2 linked regions of the Ovis aries genome follow. The protein of the gene in region 1 purifies or fractionates together with the protein of each later gene. This does not show direct contact. Links are inferred from orthologs where the notes say so. Each region holds a gene or a part of one and is shown on either strand. Other genes may lie near its edges.

Region 1 (3,821 bases):
TTCAACAAGATTTATTAATTTAGAGTAGGCAGCCGATATTTTGTTTCAAATCATGCAAAATCATTGCCATTTAGGAGGAAGAAGTAAAGCATGAATGGCAACAGCAGTATGTACAGCTTAGTTTGTAAATAAGAAAAAAAATCATGTGAATGTAACAATGTCACAGAATATTAAAATGATAATAACTAACATCTAATTCTAACACCTTTTAATCCCAACAACTCAGGAATCTACTAGCATTGTTTCAACTTACATTCCATTTCTTGTCCAAGATAGGAACACCATCGATTTCTCATATCTTCTACAGCAAGTATGTCTTTCTCTTCCATTTCATCCACCAATAACAGGGGCAAAAACGGGACAATAAATTCATTCATGATAATCAGACCATTGTTTACTTCTCTATCCTCTCCAGATTCAAACAGTTCTGCAGCTTGCTCATTTAATTTCTTAACGCAATGAGAGAGAAAGAGAGAGAGGAAAAAAAAAAACAGGTTTGTTTCCTTTTTCAACTAAGTAAAAATATCTCACAATAATGAAGGCAACATAATAAGCATGTTTGCAAACAGTAATAGAACAAATAGAAATCAGAAAAAGCAACCTCAGCTTATTGAGTGAGAAAAGTTTCTTAGAAAAGGATTTGCATGTTACAATAGAAACAAGAGCAAAAAAAAAAAAGTCAGAAAAATACTGCTGTCATGTTTTTAAAGTTCATATTCAGTTTACTTTGATCATCACTATAGGAACTATTTTTAAATTAATTGTCCAGAGGTGAATTACCCCAATTCTAAAATATGATAAGCACTCAAAGTAATTTTAAAAGCAAAGAAATTCAGATTCCATACTAATTTTGAAAAACTCATCTTTTCCATAAATGTCAGCTGAACAGGGACTGTTATATTTCTTGATACAGAAATATAAAGGTAATCAATTAAATCATTCATTTCTTCAAAAAATTCTTACTCAGTACATGCCATGTGCCAGAAACTGTTTTAGTTGCAGGGGTACCCAAATGATTAATAAGAAAACTCTCATGGAGCTCACAATCTGTTACAATACAGGGATCAGTAACATTTTCTCTGTAAAGGACAAGACAGGGAATATTTTAGGCTCTGAGGGCTATATAGTCTTTGTTGCAATGACATTAATATTGCTGCACCAAGACAGTCGTATGTAAGTGAATGGGCAGGGCTATGTTTCGGTAAAACTTCATTTATAAAAACAAGTGGCAGGAGGGAGCAGAGGCCAAGCATGCTGACATCTAATTAAATAGAAGTAAGAAATCCATGAGATAAGAAATACAGACATGGGAGATAGAAAAAAGATACAGGTATAATAAGACTTAAAACATTTTTTTAAATTGGAGGATAACTGCTCTAACAATGTTGTGTGTATGAATCAGCTATAAGAATACACATAGCCCCCTCTGTCATGAGCCTCCCTCCCACCTGCTCATGAGACGTTTATGTCTGAAATCTCACGTTTACAGAGAGTATGATTTTTAAATAATCTTCATATTTTAAAAATAATTTAAATTATAAAAAGCATATTATTTCTTAGGTTATGACATTCTTGTGCAATTCATCTTGACTTTGTAGAAAGCTTATGCTAAAAGTCCAACTCAGCCACTAAGTAATTATCTAACAGTCAGCAAACAACTAATTTCCTAGCTTCAGCTTCTTCATATGAAAAATGGCATAGTATATAACCTTCCTCACATAGTGGCTAAGAGGATTAAATGAGATAAGCCTTGAAGTATATAGTGTAATTTTTACAATTTGCATTCAAAGACATTATTATTCTGAATTTGATGTTATGTTCACTAAATCAAAACAGATCCTAGAGACAACTTAAGCATAGTTATATCCAAAGCCAACCTATTCATCCTCTTCAGAGTCCCCAAAGCCAAAGACAAAACAGATCTAGTAAGTCATGAGGCTTTAATGCCTCTACTTCCTTCTTCACACTCATCTCATCGTTATCGACCATCTCCTTTACCATTTACATAACTTCTCTTTCATACTTTTCCCTGTCTAACTATCTTTTCTAGGGTTCTTTGTTTCAATCTTTACTCCATTCCAGTCCATATTCAAGTATACTACTGCCAGAATTACTTTCTAAAAACAAAACTGATTATGCCCAATTTATTCCAACTTTACAACCAACTCATGAGAATGATGCATAAGCTTCTACACAGTTTGACATCAACAAACACTGTTGGCTTCATCACGTCCACCTACACTTGTTTCTCATAACTAAGCCACAACAGACTTATCTTCATTTTCTGTCGTACACTCTCCATGTCTTTTCATACAATATTCCTTTGTCTAGAATTTCTTGCCCCTTCTCTACAAGGCACAAAATGCCTATTTATCCATTCGGATACAGATCAGTGTTTATCTTATTTCTTAAGCTTCTCTCCAACAATTCCAAACATACTATGTTGCGTATTTCTCATAATGCTTATTCTGAAATATAAAAATTACTTGTATACATCTCTCACCAGATTGAATTCTCTTAGGATATAATAATGGCTCTTATCTTTGCATCCCTCAGAATCTGATACTCAGTAAATTCTCAATATTAAAAAAAAAACCAAACAACTAAAAAAGGAAAAAAGAAAACACCTAAAAGGAACACTAAAATTCTCTTGAAGCTGCATTTAAATTCCTATGTGAAACAATAAATGTGGCTGGCTTACTAACATAAAATGATAAACACTTTTTACCATAATATAAACACTGTCTACCATTACGGTAGACAGTATTTTAGTTGTGTTTATGTTTAAAATAGGTTTATCAATACATTTCAATATTCCAACACTGCAAAGTTTTACATTAACAAGTGCTTTGATTCATTCAATGCATGGATTATGAACCTGAATATAATTCAGATCTTCCTTCTTGGGCATTGATTAAAAACCTTTTGAAACTGACCATATTAAGAATGGGATTCCCTGGTGGCTCAGAGGTAAAGAATCTGCCTGCCAGTGCAGGAAATGCAGGTTTGATCCCTGGGTCGGGAAGATACCCTGGAGAAGGAAATGGCAACACACTCAAGTATTCTTGCCTGGAGAATTCCATGGACAGAAGAGCCTGGCGGGCTACAGTCCATGGGGTCACAAGAGGGTCAGACATGACTTAATGACTAAAGAACAACAAATTAAGACTACCATTCTTGATGGATACAAACCATCAATAATTAAAGTCTTAAAATATACTCAAATGCAATAAAATCAGCTAAGAGAAAAATAACAAAATCACAAGCTTCTACTCTTGCCATTCAAAAATTCTGAAGACATAATGCAGACTACAATTAACATATACTCTGCAGTTCTACTGAAAGAAAACATTTCAGCAGTACACCTACTGAAAGTCTTTTTAAAGTACATGTAAACCAATTAACCTATATTGGCTCAAAAATGATATACTCTTGCATACCTTTATGTATTTTATAGAAAAAAAAAACATGACTTAGAGGTTCACAATCTATAGTCATGTTAATAGCTAAATGAAATCCAATCATAAAAAGTATAAAGATGGAATTCGTGGTTTTACACTTAAAGATAAGCAAAGTCAAGAAACATTAACAAAATATTCCAGCCAGAAAGTAAACTGGTGGGGAAAAAGAACTGCTGAAAATATTTAAGTTCATAACAATAATATTTAAGCACATACACAGTAAAAATACTTGAGGAAAAAATTTCAATGACCAAATGGAAAAAACCTTCATATTACAATGAATTATTTAACGTTATATACACCAAATATACTCTTTATAAAAACTCAGAAAAACTATACTTTTTCTGGAATAATAATAAT
Region 2 (4,501 bases), on another chromosome or scaffold:
TGAAGTGCCAATCAATTTAAAAATTATATATGTATATGCATGTATATACATATGTATGTGTGTGGTAATGTATTTTCTCTCTTCCTCTCCCCAGAAAGAGATATGAAACGCTGACTTGGGGTTATACTAGTTTTTGAGTTAATATTCCTCCAGTCTGCTGAAGAATTGTCACATATTCTGAATGTACCCACACAATTTGGTGAGTCAGCAGCTATGTCACAAACCATGAAAAAAGGGAAGCAGCTAATAAGGCTTGACGACCTTTTTTGTTTATTATTTTAGGTTATAGTAGGCATCCTCCCTTTGATGTCTTGTAGTCAAAGATGAAAACTTTCAACTTTGAAGCATAATGAACATAATTATACATTTACTTCAATCACCTACACTCTGCCTTACACAACACCACAAAAAGATATCTAACAATTTTTCTGCTTTTTACATTTGTTAAAATAGCTATGTTGAACACATACATTTGCAGAATACAGTTGTTAACCATTTGATAAACATACTAAGCCAAACAATACAAATAACATCAATTACCTTTTTAATCTAATAACTGTACCAATCATTGTAAGAAGATACAACTGAAGGGGAATTACGGGATCATCCTTGATGCACTGCAAAGGTTTTACACCTTGGTCCTAAGAATGATCTGAAGGTGCTGAAAGAGGTGATTCTCTGGAAGGTGACCCAGGATTTTCTTCAGGTGGAAAAACTGTGAGAGTACAAGCTCGAATGCCACCAAGTGACTCTGGAAGGTCAAAAACTTTATGCCACTCATCCTTTTCTGGGTCATATTTCTGGACAATTTCTACCATACAACGATTATTCCAAGAATATCCACCTACGACATAGATTTTATTTTCAAAGACAGCAACTCCAACATCACTTTGACCTCTTAACATGGCAGCAATTGGTGTCCACTGGTCAAGAGTTGGCGAATAGTATTCACAGCTTAGAACATCATCATAATCACTTGTTCCTCTGAAGTGATTGCCACCAATGACATAGAGCTTGTCTCCAACTGTACACATGCAATGCAGACCTCTGACTGTTGTCATTGGAGCCTTCTGTGTCCATTTGTCTGTATCAGGGTCAAAACACATGAGCTCATTTTGGAAAGTGTCATGAGTAATTCCTCCTGAAATATACATTAAGCCTCCATACACTGTTCCAGCATGGCCATAGTGGGGTTCACTCATTTTCGCAACATAGCTCCACTCATTCATTCTTGGATTGTAACATTCTACAGTGGCCAGCTCACCAGCTGCACTTCGCCCACCAACAGCATACAAATGTCCTTTGAGGGCGCTCAAGTGGAAAAATGTGCGCTTTTCATTTAATGATGCAACCTGCATCCATTTATTATATCGAGGATCAAATCTGAAAACTGTATCAACAGCAGTTTTTCCTTTTGTATCATAATTACTTTGACCACCAACTACATAAAGAAAGTTTCCAATGACAGCAATGCCATGCTGGTAACGAGGAGCATCCATGGGGGCTAAAGATCTCCACTCTTGAGCCCTCTCATCATACATCCGTAATTCTTTACTGACAACCAGCTGCTGCCTCAAAACTCCTCCTAATGTAACCAAGTGTGTCGAATCAGATCGAATGGCGGTTCTATCTGACTGCATCACTGGCTGCATATATGGCATCATTTGGTAATTGCTAGCTTCCAAAAGCAAATTCACACACGTATTGTCTGTTCTCATAAAATCTACTGTCTGCACATAATTGATGAGATCCTGTGGTGTCATCAGTGGAAATCGAATATTCTTCATTAATTTTGCAGCATAATCCATCCGAGGATCTTCCAACCTTAGCCAGCGACAGGCAGCCTTAAAGAGCTCAAGTTCAGTACAGTGCTTAAGGCTATTGCTAGAAAGCACAAAGGCAAGCCGTTCAAAAGGGAGTTTTAGAAACTCTCCAGTACTCAGTAAGGCAGGAAAATTCTTCAGAATGAAATTATTGACATATTTATCTACTTCTATAAGATTGTAGGTGTTAGCAATTCGTCCAACTTCAACACAGTTATCTAAAGAGACTCCTGAAATAAGAAACACTTTACAGAAGTCTAAAACAGGCAAGATTTGCAAAAAGCTGGCAGCTTCAAGAGTGTCCTGAAGATTGTCCATATTAAGAGAAAGCTTTGCAGTATAAATAAAATCAATAATTTTCTTCAGACCAACTTTGTTCACTCCGTGAAGCTTAATGCACATTAAATCCTGTTCTTTCATTCCACCTGTGAACATAGCCTTGAAGTAATCACTAGCGGACGCCATCATAGCTCTATGAACAGGGAAGATTTCATCTCCATCACCTGGCACCAGAGTCACATCACAAAGCAATCCTTCTATTCTAAGTTGATCAAAACCTTGCAGTACCACCGAACTGTGAGTATTGCTGGTAAAAAAACGTGTGGTTCCTGCCTTGCAAGGCTGTAAATGGGCGGAGACGCCCATTTCACCGTTACCAAGAGACACTTTCATGTGAACGCCTTCCTCTTGCACAAAGATGTATGCCGGACAAAGAGGTTACGACCGGAAAGCTTTAAAGGAAACGAGGATGTCCCAAGAGCAAGAGAGCTCGCTTTCCTTATCAAGGGCAAACTGTCACTGCAGCACGCCTCAGAACACAATAGTCCCACATTGAAAATTGTTCTGCAGCTGGCCCACAGAGGGCTGTGGACCTCAAATCTGACTACTATGTAGATGATTCATCACCTGAGGCAGTTAAGTGACCCGGTTCACCTGGTCCGGCCTGCGCTGCTCTTCCCGCAGTTCTGCTCCGGGCTAAGGGGGAGGTGCCGCCACGTCCTGCGGCCCGGCGTCTCGCTCGACGGCGAGGGCCGGCACCTCAGAGAGCGGCCCGCCGCGCCCTCCGCCGCCCTTTGAGCGTCGCCGCGGCTACCGGCCCGTCCTGGAGCAAGGACCTGGAACACGAGCCTGGGCCTGGAACACGGGCCGAGCTCCCAACGCCGAGCCGGTCCTTCCGGAAAGGCCTCGTCCCAGGATCCCCCGGGCTAGGAGCGGCCGTGGCAGCTACTGCGGCTGCGCAGCCGCCCGACCTAGCCAGTAGGCGGGCTTGTGTGGGGGATGGGAGGATGTGGGCCGTGCCTCGAGCAGGCGGGGTTTGGGTCGCGCAGAGCTGTGCTGGGTGGGCCAGCGGGGTGTCTTCGGGATACTTTGTATGTGGTATTATTAAATAGGAATGGGTGCCCGGATATTATTTTTAATATAACTCTTTCACTGCAGCTGAGCTGTTCCTCTAAATGAATACTTCGAGATTTACATTTCTTGGCTTCTGCCTTTTGGATAACAATGAAATGCAGCTTTTCTGGAAGCTGAAACCTGGCAGAAGGCTTCCTTAGGGGAAAGATGCTTTTAGTTTTCCTCTATAAAAAACAAACTTTATTAATTCTTATCCCACACTGGGAATGTTCTGGCAGGTCAGTGGTTAGGACTCGGCACTTTCACTGCTGTGGCCAGGGTTCAAACCCTGGCTGCAGACCAAGATCCCTCAAACTCCTCAACCAAAAAAAAAACCAACAAAAAACCTATCCCACACAATTTAATAGACAGTTCAAGTATAACTCTGGGTACATATTTTCAGATTTTAATCATTTAAAACAGGTTATTTGCCTCTCTTAAAATACCAAATTATGACCATGCTATGTAAATAATATAGGCTGAATTTTTGCCATGCAGCAGAATTCCATCAGTAAATTTTTCGTGCTTTTGTTTTCCACTCACAAGTTTTTAAATGGATAGACAATTGTCATTTGTTCCTGAATATATACTTCGTTGTTCTCCAATGTTACAGACTCCGAGCACAAAACTTCCCATTTTGGGATAAATCCTAATGTTAGAATGCTGCTTGAAGACATACAAAGTTTTTTGCAAAATATTGTCACCAGAGATGTTTTGAAAAACTACATATTGGCACTTTTCATTGGCACTTGCCATCTACCTCTACAAGGATTGAATAAATCTCTCCTGCTGTTGTAGCTGCTGACCTTCAACACCACCTGATGGGTGTTCAGAGTGGAGATCAGAAAGGAGGCACTCTTGTGCTCTGGAAAAACTGGCAGAACAGGTCTTCAGATAGATATTTTCAGGAGCTGATTTTAGGAGCACAATTTTTGCATCTCCTCATATCTAGAAAAGCACTAAATTCCTTCATGGTGATATCTGCTCCCTCGTGACTAGCAAAACCTTCTGCAAAAAAACATGCTTGATTGCATATACCCCTCTCTTCACTAAAATCACATATATACCAACCACCCCTCTACCTCTTTGGAGCAGCTTCCCAGAGTATGTGAAATGCTATCTCCAGGGCAATAGTCTCATTTTGCCCCCAATAAAACTTAACTCACAACTCTTTTTAAGTACTTTTTTAAAGTCAACACTTTGAGTGTATATTTATCCCACTACTGATCTTTCCCTTAATGGTTATTTTAAAACTTACATTTTAAAAAATTCAAATATAGTTGATT

The links.
Region 2: the proteins of USP25 (region 1) and KLHL9 purify together in Homo sapiens (affinity purification with mass spectrometry; 3 studies listed by BioGRID and IntAct, with this or other methods). This does not show direct contact. The link is inferred for Ovis aries from reciprocal best matches to the Homo sapiens genes USP25 and KLHL9.

Annotation. Positions count from the first base shown.
Region 1 is NC_056054.1:141,980,542-141,984,362, forward strand, and holds part of USP25 (ubiquitin carboxyl-terminal hydrolase 25), read right to left. Parts: intron 450-3,821; coding exon 254-449; intron 1-253. UniProt on the Homo sapiens protein: Deubiquitinating enzyme that hydrolyzes ubiquitin moieties conjugated to substrates and thus, functions in various biological processes including inflammation and immune response.
Region 2 is NC_056055.1:89,892,251-89,896,751, forward strand, and holds the start of KLHL9 (kelch-like protein 9), read right to left. Parts: upstream 3,026-4,501; 5' UTR 2,496-3,025; coding exon 642-2,495; 3' UTR 541-641; intron 1-540.